Notamacropus eugenii: one gene and its partner. The protein of the gene in region 2 binds, or shares a complex with, the protein of the main gene of each other region. Links are inferred from orthologs where the notes say so. Each region holds a gene or a part of one and is shown on either strand. Other genes may lie near its edges.

Region 1 (6,365 bases), on a different chromosome or scaffold from region 2:
GACCAATGAAAATTCATTTAACCCTCCAGGACTGTTAAAATGGACTGGATATGTACCAACTCTCATGACATCTGTGGTCTATTCCAAAATCCCAGTCTTACAAAAGTCGTGTGTGGCGAGGCTAAGTACGTCACTAATCTTTTGGGGTTAATAGCGTGGAATACAATGATAGCTTCGTCATCATGACTGCTGACCGTCGAATAACATAAAAACTTCTTGTGTTTTGGTCAAAAAATGTATCTGCCTTTCATCTTTGGGCTAGGATATAAATACCTCTTTTCTTCCCATGTAGGGGCTTCAAGCTTCTGTATGAATGTAATATTTGATTATACTAGCTAGAGTAAAAGAATGAAGAGTTGAGGGTATGGGTGAAAGTACAACTTAAGCTTCTAACCAGACTCAGCAGCCCCACCCACTAGGAAAGAAATGAGGTTGAATGGACAGAACCAAGGTGGAACTATGGTTAGTATGAGAATTGGGGAGGGAGAAGGAAGGGAGGCAAGAGAACAGATCAAAGTAATGTAACTGGGTGGTTAGAAAACAAGGCAGGGGTCAGGTATTTTCACATTTTATTTGCCACAGTGCAGGTAACCCACAGTCTTTCCCTACTTTATTCTCTCCCCAACCAAGGAGGTCAAACCTTTCCCATAGACCCTGCCTTGGCAGCCTGGGCACGCTGGAACTCCTGCTGCAACTGAGCCAGAGCTTCACGTTGTTTTTCAGATTGCTTCTCCAGATCTCGGAGCTGAGATTCATATCGTTTACTAAAGAGAAATAGGAAAAACACAAAAAGATAATCATGCTAGCTGCTTCACAAGTTTGTCGGGGGAAAAAAGGGCTTAAGACAATTGTACAGCGGTACATTAGTGAGCTATTGAGGGGTCAACATGACTTACTACTGGGGAACAGATGGAATTAAAAGGGAGACAAAAAAAGAAGAAAAGTTGAAGTATATGTGACAATGAAACGAAAACAACATCACATTAACATAAGATACAGTCAAATGTGGTGGTGGGGCAGGAAGGGAGGATAATACTTACATCTCTGCTGTGATATAGTCCAGTCGCTTGCCCACAGTAGCTCGGGCCTCCCCCAGTTCCTGTTTGACCAACACTGGGCCCAGAAGCTTAAACACCACATTGGATCCATCCAATAATGCTAACTCCTGGGGATGGAGAGAAACAGTTGGAGACACAAAATGCCTGGAAGTGCCTCATGGCTCCTGGACACCTCCAAACCTGGTCCCTCACCTCTTTTACGATGTTATTTTCTGTCAGTTGTGCCTCCAGTTTCTGTCGACTAGACATAGATTTACTCAAGTCTGGGGTGGGAAGAAATGGGAAAAGAAAAAAATAAAGAAAAACTGAATGAAAATCTGATAACCTGAAACACCCTCAGTCCCAATAAATCAAAGAGAGTCGTGTCGTGGGTAGGGTCTGGCGTGGATGAAGTCACAAACACTAATGATGAAGCCATTTTAAACAACAGATCAAAATTTATACACAAAGCACTTATTTCCTCCCTCTCTGCACCACCACGGCCTGCGAATGGAGGGCAGGAATGACAATGCCCATTTTACAGATGAGGAAAACAAGGCCTGGAGAGGGGAGATGACACAACAGCCAGCACTTAAGAATCTTTTTGTAATACTCCCTTCAGAAGGAGGGAATTTGGACCCAGGCTGGGTGGCACATAGGGGTCCCGTGGGAGGCTTCCCTGAATGGCTAGCAGAGAAGCACCGGGTCTGGGTGGGCGTGTGCCGAGGCAGCTCCGAGCCCCTCCTCACTCACCCTTTTGGAGCTGCTGGTACTTCTCCAATTCCCCCTGGAGCTTTTTCTGAATCACCTCCGCCATGGCTTGGAGAAGGGCCCGGGAATCTCAGGAAGGAGGCGTGGGAGAGTGTCACTCCACAACCGGCAGCCTGGAGGCCCGCCTCGGCCGCTACACGCGCTCCTAACCCTCCTGACCCGAAGAAAGATCCTGAGCCACACACAGCGGTCCTGCACTTTCCCCTAGCACAGCTCCGGAACCCGGAGGTAGATAGGGGATGCTGGGAAAACAAGAGGCACATGGCAAATGACGGGCGGAAAAAGGACAACGTAGGCACAGGGTACGCCGGGAAATGTAGTCCTAACATCCAGACCAGGCCGCCGGAAAGATCGGCTCCTCGAACGGATTCGGCGGCGGAACATGAGCCTCAAGAAAATACAAGGCAACGCTGTTGTCGATTCTTGAAGTCCTCCCTGGCTCTCCACTTTCATCCTTCATTTCTCATCTATTACCGACACGTCATGATCGCCGCGCCGGTGTCCGACATCTCCGCCAGAGGATACAACTTTACCCAACGTGGCTTCCGGAAGACAGCTGTCTTGGATTGGTGGCTAGTCTTCGGGCTCCGCCCACTCCAACTACGACTTCCGGTGTCTTCCTTCAGTTGATGGTGGGACCGTGGAGTGGCCTTTGCACGTGGGTTTTGGAGGAGTTTTGGGACCGAGGCGCATGGAAGAGGCTCCAAAGTCGGGCAGCGGGGCCCGGGTCAAGGCCCAGGGCAAGAAACAGGTATGGTGTGCCTCTGCCCCTTGTCCCGGCGGGGCAAGCGGGAGGGACCAAGGACGACCCGAGCCGGTGGGCCATCCCATTTCTTCTTGGTTGTGAGTGGCAGCACTCATGTTATTAGTCTAAATCCATAATTCTTAATTTTGTTGATGTCGTGGGCTGCTTTGCAGTCTGCTGTTATTTAGAAAAGTATTTTAATGGCATAGAGCAAAATTCATGACATCCGGCAAAATATTAAAAATCAAATTGATGGTCTAGTAGTAGATGGGCTTCTTTATTAGCGCGATGAATACTAATACAATACTTTTAAAATATAAGCAAGTTGAAGTGAAATTTTGTTTTTTAAAGATATATCAGTGTGAAGGCTGTTATTGCTGAACTTGACTAAGAAGTTAAATTATTGGGTTGTCTTTCACAAGACAACAGGCTTGTCATTTTGGATATCCGTGTGGATTTTGGTTTTTTGTCTTGATGGTTACAAGCGTTTTAGAAGCCATATTCACAAATTTGTGTTATTGCAAATGGAATTAAAGTTTCTACTGCTTGCATTATAAAGGGAAGGTAGCCTAATCTCAAGTAACACTAGAATTCATTTTTTGGTATAGTATTTAAGTGGCTTTTTTTGGGGGGGGCTAAATCTGTGTAGATATCAGTAGTTCACATTTTTTGGTAAGTGAAGTGTGTAAGACATACAACAAATTGTATGACAAGTAAGTAAAATGAGACAGGTTTTACAATTTATTCAAAGTTTTAGCACTTTTCAGTCTTCAATGCCCAGGCGTCATGTCTTTACTTGACATAGTTTGGGTGTGGGGTGAGAAAGAGTCTGGCCTGCAAAAATCTTGCTGTCCCCTGCTCATCCCTACCTCGTTTTTTCCAGAAACCTCGACGCTACTGGGAAGGGGAAACTGATGGAGCCAATTCCCTCCCATCCGACCCTTTCACTGCCCCTGCCCCTGCCAGGGGGACCAAGAGGAATAGGGAAGACTGGTCCCAGTCCAGGGGTGTCAGGGTACCTAAGAGGTCAAAGCAGAACCAGAAGCATCTGAGATCCAAGCAGAACCAGAAGCATCTGAGGTCGAAGCAGAACCAGAAGCATCTGAGGCCAAACAATAAACAAGAGCTGAGACCAAGTCAGACCTTATCTGGGGTAAGATTCAGGTTGGGAAACAGGGAGCCTTGATCCTTGGGTCAGTAGGTAAAACTAAGAGGATCTCGTCAGCCCTCAACCAGTCTTCCTCTCATGCCCCTGTCACTTTCTGAGGTGTTTTGATATGGATTTTGTGGATGGAGGGGAAAGAGCAGGATCTCTCTGTAGAATTAAGGTAGCAGGTCAAAGTGAGAGTAAACAAAAGGTCTGGAGAGGAATGGGAAGGAATTTGGAGGAAAGAATGAAGTGGTGGGACCATTAGAATGCCTCATTAGCCTAAATTTACACTTAAATAGCGGTTCACCCAGAAAAGTAGATCTTGGGTTTCAAAGTACTCTGTAAATGTGAGGCATTGTAACAGTAAAAGCATGAGGGAGGAGGAAGGGATACCATCTCTGATGCAAAACTTCATCTTATCACCTCTAGGCTCAGGATCCATTCCCAGGGCCAGCCCCACTCTCAGAGGCTGCTATAAATAAGTTCCGAAGAGGCAGTTCTAAATTGGTGAAGGTAAGAAGGCAAATTGGGGAGGAGCAGCAGAGGGTCTTAATGTCCATCCAGTGATTGAGAAAGAAGACCTGAAGTTGACAGTCTTTCATCACTCACCTGTGACCTTTTATTTTCCCATTCTTCATTGTTGATTCACCAGTTATTGAGAAGGAAGAGTTAGGGTTCTCAGTCCTCTGATTTGTAACCTATGACCTTTGATTCATCATTCTCTCAGAAGCATCCCCTTAAGTTGGTGACTGAGCACAAACTCAAGGCAGCTGCTGATGAAGAAGAGGAAACAAGTGTCCGTGCAGCCCGGGCCGAATTATTGCTGTCTGAGGAGCCTGGGTAAGTGAGCTATTCTTGCTTGGCATCTTCTTGTTCCACTTTCAGAGGTCAGTAACCACAGCCCCTGGGATCTAACCTGTGTTGTGGTTGTCCCCTATCTCCCTCTCCATCCCCTTCTCATACCCAGCATTCTCAGTTCTGCTGAACTCTGTCCTAGTGAACTTTTCAATGAGCCCTCATTCTTCACAGATTCCTTGAGGGAGAGGCAGGGGAAGACACAGCTACAATCCGCCAGGCTGACATTGTAGAGGCTGTGGACATTGCAAGTGCGGCTAAGGTGAGGTTGAAGGCTGGGAAGGAACTGATGATGATGATGTGGAGAAGACAGCTATATCATGATGAGTGGGTGGGAGGATTTCCAGGCTTGGCTGACCTCCTGCATGTCTCTGTACTTAGCACAGTGCTTGGCACATGGTAGGTGCTATATACGTGCTTATTCCCTTTCCCTTTCCTTCATAATGTAGCATTTTGACCTGAACTTGTACCAGTTTGGACCCTACAGGATCAATTACTCACGGACTGGAAGGTGAGGGACTTTCTCCAGTTTGCATAGTGAACCTTTCTCACAATGTTCTTTTCCAGCACAATGCTTGGCACATAGTAGGTGCTTAATAAATATTGATTGATTGATTTTCTCATCCAAGGGCAGTGAGGTCTCTTTGTCAGTAACACTCTGCTGCCTTCACTCACTGTCTTTTTCTGGGTGGGGGAGAGAGATTTAAGGTATCAATAACTGTATGCATATATTCTTTTGACCAAATATCTGTGTCCTCCTTTTTTGGGGGGTGGGGGGGGAGCGCAAAGCAGAGCTCTAGGTACTAAGGGTTCCTAACACTAGGATATCTGTTTTTCTCTTCCACCAGACACCTTGCCCTGGGTGGCCGGAGAGGTCATGTGGCCACATTTGACTGGATAACAAAGAAATTAATGTGTGAAATCAACGTCATGGAAGCTGTGAGGGACATACGGTCAGTGGGATCCAGGGCCATCATTGAGTGGGTGAGGCTCACTGACCTTATGAGGGTCTCAGGGAGGTTGAGTACCTGACTCATCTTGAGGTCATTTTATGGTTTGTTCTGTGATTCTTGACTCCAGTTTCCTGCACTCTGAGACATTGTTTGCAGTTGCTCAGAAACGCTGGCTTCATGTCTATGATAATCAAGGGATAGAGCTCCACTGTGTCCGAAGGTGTGATCGTATCACAAGACTTGAGTTCCTGCCCTTCCACTTCCTGTTGGTCACAGCTGTGAGTCATGCTCAGGAACTAGGAGAAATTGATTAACCTTGGGAAATGACCTCTCCAACTGTGGAGCAGGAGATGTTTGGCAGAAAGTCTGGTAAAGGGTGTGGATTGGTGTCAGGGTGATGAGGGTGGGAAGAGGCCTTGGTTGTAACTCTCTGTCTCATTTTCTCCACCGTCCAGTCAGAGACAGGGTTCCTTACCTACTTGGATGTGTCTGTCGGCAAGATTGTAGCCTCTCTGGCAGCTCGGGCTGGACGTCTGGATGTGATGACCCAGAATCCCCACAATGCAGTCATCCATCTTGGCCATAGCAATGGTTAGTAAATGTTACGTCCTGACCCATTGCTGCTTTATGTCCTAGGACCCTCTGACCTCCCTTGCTTTTTTCCCTATCCATTCCATAGACCTAGTGGTCAAAGCTGGAAACACTCCTTAGAAATTATTTAGCTCAACCTTCTTGTTTTACAGATCAGCAATTTGAGAACTAGAGATGTTAAGTGATTTAGGGTTAGGGTTGGCAGTCACAGAATTAGTAGTAAGGAACAGAATCAGGACTCAGAACCTGCATCCTCTAACCTG
Region 2 (6,918 bases):
AAATCCCTTGTACCTTACTCTAATTCACTCATTCTAGAGATGAGGGACCTCTAAATTACTCCACAAACTATCATCTCTCCTCATCCCTCTTCACCCAATCTGACACCATGTGGTCGTAGTCACTTTGTCAACAAGCATTTGTTAAGTACCAGTTATGTGTCAGGCACTATGCTAAGCACTGGGAATACAAAGAAAGAAAAAAAAAACATGGTCCCTGGCCTCAAGGAGCTCACATGCTAATGGGGGAGAGAGCATGCAATTAACTATGTACGTATAAGATACATACAGTGTAAGTGGAAGGCCATCTCGGAGGCCAGGCACTAACAAAATGAGGGGCAGGGGGAGACAGACAGCGAAAGTAGAAGGTGGGATATAAGCTGAGTCTTGAAGGAGGCCAGAGAATCTAGGAGAAGTAAGGAAGGAAGAGTATTCCAGACATGGGGAAAGAATCAGAATCAGAAAATGGAGAATCCCCTATGAAGATGAGCAAATAGATAATTGTGGCTGGGTTGTAGAATACAGAAAGGGGAATAAAGTTTAAGAAGATTGAAAGGTAAGGGGGGAAGGTCATAAAGCATTTTTTATTGGATCCTGAAGGTAATAGAGAGCCAAGATCAACCTGTACTTTAGGAAAATGATTTGGCCACTGAGTGGAGGATAGATTTGAGGCAGGGAGAATGATGAAAAGTTGATTGCATTAGTCTAGTCATAAGGTGATGAGGGTCTGTACCAAGCTGGCAGCTGTGTGAGTGGAGAGAAAGGGACAAGGCTTGACAACAGATGGGATATGTGTGATATGTATAAGCAGGATTTTCAGTAGAAAAAATTTGGATTTATAGATAGGGGAAGGGCTGAGAGTTGAAACTGGTTGTTGACCAGTACACCTCCAAAATATAAGAAAGTAAGAATCTCCCAAAAAAAGGAGAAGGCCCTTTTATAAAGTGTGAAAAATGTCCTTGATTGAATTAGAATTTGGACGTTATGTGGGCAAGAGATTGGTCCTGTCCTGGATCACCCTTAAAAACAGTTTCAGAGTTAATGTGAGAGTTCAAGATATAGTTGAAATGCATCTAACAGGGACACACATGAGAGACACACAGTCTTCAGAAAAACACAGACTCAGGGAAGGAGTCTAGTTGAGGAACTTATGTCAGAAGTAAGTTGTGGGCAGAACCTCTGGGAGCAAAGAAAAAAACCTGGCTATGGACTAGCCTGGCAATCAAGAATCAAGCTGGTGAGAAAAACAGACCCTGGGAGCACATCTAGGTGACCTGTCCAGCAGAGATACTGCTAAGAGGAACAGCACAAGGAGAGAAAGGAAATCAAGGTCCTACAGTAATAGCCGTGGGAGTTGCCTTGTTTTCCTGTGTTTCCTACGTGTGGGACTCACTGCCATTATATTCATAAGTTTGTACTCACTCTTCCCACTGTGTGTATTTGTGGGAATGCATATTCCAGGCTTATGGAAGGAATGTTTTGAACCTACTGTTTTTACTATGCCATCTTCTGTAAGTGTTTTTTGCTTTGAGTTAATTGTTAAGAGGATGCCTGGCGGTTTGTGAACTAAAGTTTTAGGATTGTAGACTCATAGGATATCCTTGAAACCTGGGAGCATCCAGTCCCTCTCCTACTCTGGGGTCTAATCTGCAACCTTCAGGATGAGGATTAGCTCCCAGAGAAGGGGCTACACAGAATTTAAGAATCTTGGTGTTGGACAGAGCCACAAAGGCCATCTAAGCCAACTAGTACTTGAAATTGTTAGAAAGTTTTTGCTTAAACGTACTTAAATATTTATAATGACAATCTTGGTTTGGGACCAGAACGAAACTGCGTGTGTTTGTCCTTCCTTGCCGAAGAAGACCATGCCATCAGAGAAATAATGACATGACTTGCACTTGACTTTGTTTTGAGTGAGGGAGGGCTGTGCAGGTCACCAGCCTCACTTCTCCTCCAGAGCCATCTGAATCCAGTGACCAGATATTCATCAGGATGACTGGAGATGACCCAGGATGAGGCAATTGGGGGTAAGTGACTTGCTCAAGGTCACACAGCTAGTGAGTGTCAAGTGTCTGAGGTGAGATTTGAACACAGGTCCTCCTGACTCCTGCACTGGTGTGCTCTATCCACTGCACCACCTAGCTGCCCCTCTGAATGAAACTGCACAAGTTATGAGAAAGCAGGATAAAGTGTGTGTGTAGGATTGCTCAGCCCTATCCCTAAACCTTTTTTTTTGTGTGTGTGTTAACAAAAGAAATGAGATTGATCCTAAAGACCTGTGGTGATCATGGCAAAGATCTGAAGGTAGTAACCTTTACATAAAGTTGTTTTAATAAATCATGTAATCACTAGAAACTCAATCATCTAAGTCTTATAAATGAAGACAATTGGTGAAAAGTAAAATTTTCAAATGTGGGCTGAAGGTTTTAAAGGATAGATGACTGATTTTCTAGTTTAGTAATGCTGAAATATATTCTATATTATACACCTTGAGCCATATGAAGTTCAATGATAAATTCAAGGTATCATGAAATGGCATAGCTCCATGAGGCTCAGTGTTATGAGTTTATAGGCTGAATAGCCTGGAGGGTGGAGGGAGCCTTTTGGGAAGGTGGTGCATGAATACAGAGTAACTTGGCTGGTAGACCCAGAGTTGAGCCACCTGTGGCCATATTCCCTTGTAGGTTAATTAATTTTATTGTTATTCAATTGTTTTTCAGTCACATCTGACTCTTCATGACCCCAGTTGGGGCTTTCTTGGTAAAGAAAATGGTTGGTTTGCCATTTCCTTCTCCAGCTTATTTTACAGATGAAGAAACTGAGACAAATAGGGTTAAATGACTTGCCCAGGGTCATGTAGCTAGGAAGTGTCTGAGGTCAGATTTGAACTCATGAAGATGAGTCTTCCTAATTCTAGACCCAGGACTCCATCCACTGCACCACCTAGCTGCCAAGGCTAATTAATTAGCAAATGAATTCATTGATAGCCTGTTTTTCTGAAGTTTTCAGAGAGTAGAAAAAGGGGCTGTGGAATAATATTCCTTCTGCAGCACCAAGTGTACACCAAGCCCATACCACCACTAGGGATGAAGCCCAAATCTGTCTCTTTCAAACTTATATATACTTATTAGTCCTAGTTTAGGGCCAGAAAACCCAAGTTTTAGAGAGGACCCCCTTGTTACATCTGCTGAGGATAAGAATAATATATGTTGAAGGTCAAAGACTGTAATTTTGCCTCCCTGATAAAAATATTATTGTTCTTAGAGCAATTCCTTTTCTTTCAACATACCAAATTATTTGCACCAGAAAATTCCTAAAGCAGTGAAAGCTAGAGTTTTTTTATAACATAATAAAGTGTGTTTAGTTAAAATTTTTGAATCTGAATCACGTCATTTTACAGAGAAGGAACTTTTCCAGGGTCATATAGATCCTGTAATGATCATCATCTAGCTTCTTCCTGAAAACGTTCTTTTGACTCCTCCAGTCCACAGGTAGCTCTTCCCTTCTAGGTCAGGGCCATAGCTGTGGACCTAAGCAGGGAGAGCCTGACCTAGGCTTCTGGAAAGTCCGTCCACACCTGCACCATGCACCTGCCCCAAGCTCCACCGAGCAGGACCCATGATGAAGAGGAGGAGGAAAGGGCGGGGGGAGGGGAGGACACGGTGTGAGATTCACTCCACTCTCCCCACCGTAGGACTCGCCCCGAGTCCTGGGCGTGCGGGAGAAGGTGACCCTTCTCGCAGCTGTCACTTTCGGACTTGAGGACTTCCAGAGCAAAGCCTGAGCTCCACCGGACGGAGGCGCCAAAGTACCAGCACACGTGCGTCCCCGCCCAACTCCCGCGGGCCCAGAAGGCGTCGTCACGTGGCCCCAGAGGCCGTCCTCCCCTTCATTTCCCCCGCCCCGCCCCCGGGCGTGCGTCCTGACCTACGTGCCCCGCGCGCGCCGGCGGCCGCGTGCGACTACGTAGCGTGCCTGCGTGGCTGGCGCATGCGCACAGGGAGACTGCCGAACCGCACCATTGCCGGAGTCATGTTGGGGGCGGAAGCCGAACGTGTGTTGCTCTACCTGGGGGAGGTAGAGGAGCTGGCTGAGGAGGTGCTGGCCGACAAGCAGCAGGTTCGCCAAGGGCCCAGGAGCGAGGAGAACGCGCTCTCAGATTCCTGCTCTCCGTACTCCTCCATTTTTTCCTTTCCCCGACTTTGAGCCTGGTCCTTGCACAAAGAAGGAAACTGAGGCCCGGGGGCGGAGGATGGGGGGGAGGAACGGGCCAAGATTGCGCCTCTGATCCCCTCCCCCCTCTCGGCCCCACCCTGACGTCTGGCTTTCTCCTAGATAGTGGACCTGGACTTGAAAAGGAACCAGAACCGGGAAGCCCTGAGGGCCCTTCAGAGAGACCCCAGCCAGTCGGGTGAGTTGGGGGCGAGCGGGGTCTGGGGTCATGCGGGTCACTCCCCGGCCTCTGCACGCCCTTCCAGGGGTGACCCTGGAGTCCACGTAGAGCCGCCTGCCCATGCTGGGGTGCTTCCTCCCCTGCGCCGCTTGTGGGGAACATTCGGCCTCTGGCCCAGCTTTGGGTTCCGAGCACTGACCCTGCGCCCTAGAAGACTGTGCTTGGAAACGGCAGCTTCGGTGGAACTGGTGTTCTCTAACTTTTAGGAATGTTGAGTGTCAGCAAGACTGGATTTACTGTGACTTTTTTCTTTTAGGGTCAGTATCAGTTAAACGTCTTTTATTCTACATCACAGCAGTAGAGCCAAGAGGGGAGGGAAAGACGAAGAAAACCAAATCAGATGGAATATTTACATCCAGAATTCACATCACTTACATATTGGGTCCAGAACACTATATACAGTAAATGCCTTTGGGGACATGGATATAAATTCCTTTTTTTTTGTTTGTTTGACATTACTTTCCTGTATAGTAAGATAGGGTTGTGGGGCTTTTTTCGGTATTTTATTTTTTAAAAACATGAGTGTACAGAAGTGGTTAGAGATCTCCATTTTCTTTCTTTCTTTCTTTTTGGCCAAACTAGGTCTTAAATTCTAGCACCTTCCTTAGGGAATTATGGATACATGAAGTCTTACAGAGAATACTCGTAATAGTGGACATATAGCGCTTGAGGATTTGTGAAGTGCCCTACATGTTATCTTATCCAATTCTTACAATAACCTTGTGAGATAAATACTAGTATCCCTGTTTTATAGATGAGGAAATTGGGACTGAGCAGGGTCAGACAGTAAGGATGAGGAAGGATGTGAGGCCCTGTCTTTCTGACTTCCAAATCCACTAAAAACTCTGCTTCAAGAGTCCTTGAGTATCACTAGCTAAATTTGGCATTAGCCCCAAAGATACTGGCCTCAGTGAGGGGTACGACTAGTGCCCTTATTCTGGCTTGTCTCCTTATCTTTGTAAGAGCCTTTTTTGATTCTCCACATCCCCCAACAGCTTCTAGCGTCCTCCCTCCCAAACTACTTTAAATGTATTTGTATCTCTTGATATGCCACATATATACCTGTGGTTTCCTCCATTAGAATGTAAGCGTTTCAAGAGTAGGAATTGTTTCATTTTTAGTATTTGTGTCCCACAGTGCCTGGCACATAGTAGGCGCTTAGTAAATACTTGCTGATTTATCAAGCTGACCATGCACTATTTACTGTTTCAGATAAAGTGATGGTTTGCTTTGGAAACATGTTCATCAAACTTCCTCGACCACGGACAAAGGATATGATTGAGAAAGGTAAGGAGCCCGAAAACTGTACTGTGAACACCAGCTTCACCTCCTAAATCAAATTTTACATAGCATTTAGGCTCAGGTTTTAATTCAAATTGATCACAAAGTCTGAGTTTCAAAAGTTTGATAGTCTTTGACCTGGAGTTTTAACTTTGGGGCATATACCTCAAAGAAGTCAAAGACAGAAAGGCGGGGTGTATGTGTGTGTGTGTGTGCATGCTTGTGTATACACATAAATATGCATAGATGTGTGTATATATATATACATATATACATATATATACACATATATCCCAAATTATTCACAGCTACACTTTTTATAGTAGCAAAAAACTTGAAACAGTGAGTATGTGCTGATTAAGGAATGGTTGTAAGAAACAAGTATGAGGAATTCAGAGAAAGGGAACATAACATTTGAATTGATGCAGAGTGGAGTAAGCAGAAATAGTAAAATGATAAACACAGTGATTACAATTTTTTTTTTAAAAAGTCAGCCCCTAAAACCTTCTTCTTGGGGTCAGTTTTTTTGGAGGGAAAGGGGTTGTGGGGCATCAGTGCTGAAAGACAAAACCAGGATCTATATCCTTCACTGGGGAAGAAGGAATTGAACATCCCACCATCCTGGTACAATGGAAGGAGCACTGGCTGGGCGGTCAGAATCTGGGTTCAAGTCCTACTTCTGCCTGAATTTGTAAAAAGACGTTGTCGTCTGTGTGATCTTGGGCAAGACACAACTTTGCTGGGACTAAATTTCCCCCTTTTCAAGATGGACTAGGTGGCCTCTGATGTCCCCTCCAGCCCCAAATGTCTGATCCCTGTGGAATCAAAATTAATCAGAGTAGAATGGTATGATTTGAAAACAAAGTAATTGACAGTTCTTGGTATCCTGCCCCAGAAAAGAAATTCCACAGTCTGACCAAGCCTCTCTTACTGTATACTACCTCTTTATTCTAGCCAGACCATCTCTTCACTTTCCGTCTGGCACGCCACTCCATGCTTTCTCATTTCTGTGTGTTTGATCTTGCTGTTACCTTTGCTTACAAGCATCTTCCTCATCTCATTGGTCTTCATAAATTATATACATTCTTAAAGGTTGAACTTGAGTCCTGACTCCTGCATCCTTCCATTTGCTGAGTCATTAATCTGTGCCACTCATTAGACAATTAAACATTTCCAGCGAGGCATTC

Evidence for each region. The genes of interacting proteins can lie anywhere in the genome.
Region 1: PDRG1 (region 2) and PFDN6 share a complex: the UniProt entries of both Homo sapiens proteins name them as parts of the PAQosome complex. The link is inferred for Notamacropus eugenii from reciprocal best matches to the Homo sapiens genes PDRG1 and PFDN6.

The regions. Positions count from the first base shown.
Region 1 is NC_092873.1:89,314,957-89,321,321, reverse strand, and holds PFDN6 (prefoldin subunit 6), read right to left. Parts: upstream 2,128-6,365; 5' UTR 1,855-2,127; coding exon 1,791-1,854; intron 1,322-1,790; coding exon 1,251-1,321; intron 1,166-1,250; coding exon 1,041-1,165; intron 765-1,040; coding exon 635-764; 3' UTR 553-634; downstream 1-552. Other genes in the region: WDR46 (WD repeat-containing protein 46), read left to right, coding at 2,500-2,559, 3,437-3,706, 4,133-4,216, 4,431-4,543, 4,733-4,820, 5,008-5,069, 5,407-5,511, 5,639-5,789 and 1 more. UniProt on the Homo sapiens protein: Binds specifically to cytosolic chaperonin (c-CPN) and transfers target proteins to it. Binds to nascent polypeptide chain and promotes folding in an environment in which there are many competing pathways for nonnative proteins.
Region 2 is NC_092872.1:431,257,758-431,264,675, forward strand, and holds the start of PDRG1 (p53 and DNA damage-regulated protein 1), read left to right. Parts: upstream 1-3,852; 5' UTR 3,853-3,987; coding exon 3,988-4,116; intron 4,117-4,332; coding exon 4,333-4,408; intron 4,409-5,662; coding exon 5,663-5,737; intron 5,738-6,918. UniProt on the Homo sapiens protein: May play a role in chaperone-mediated protein folding.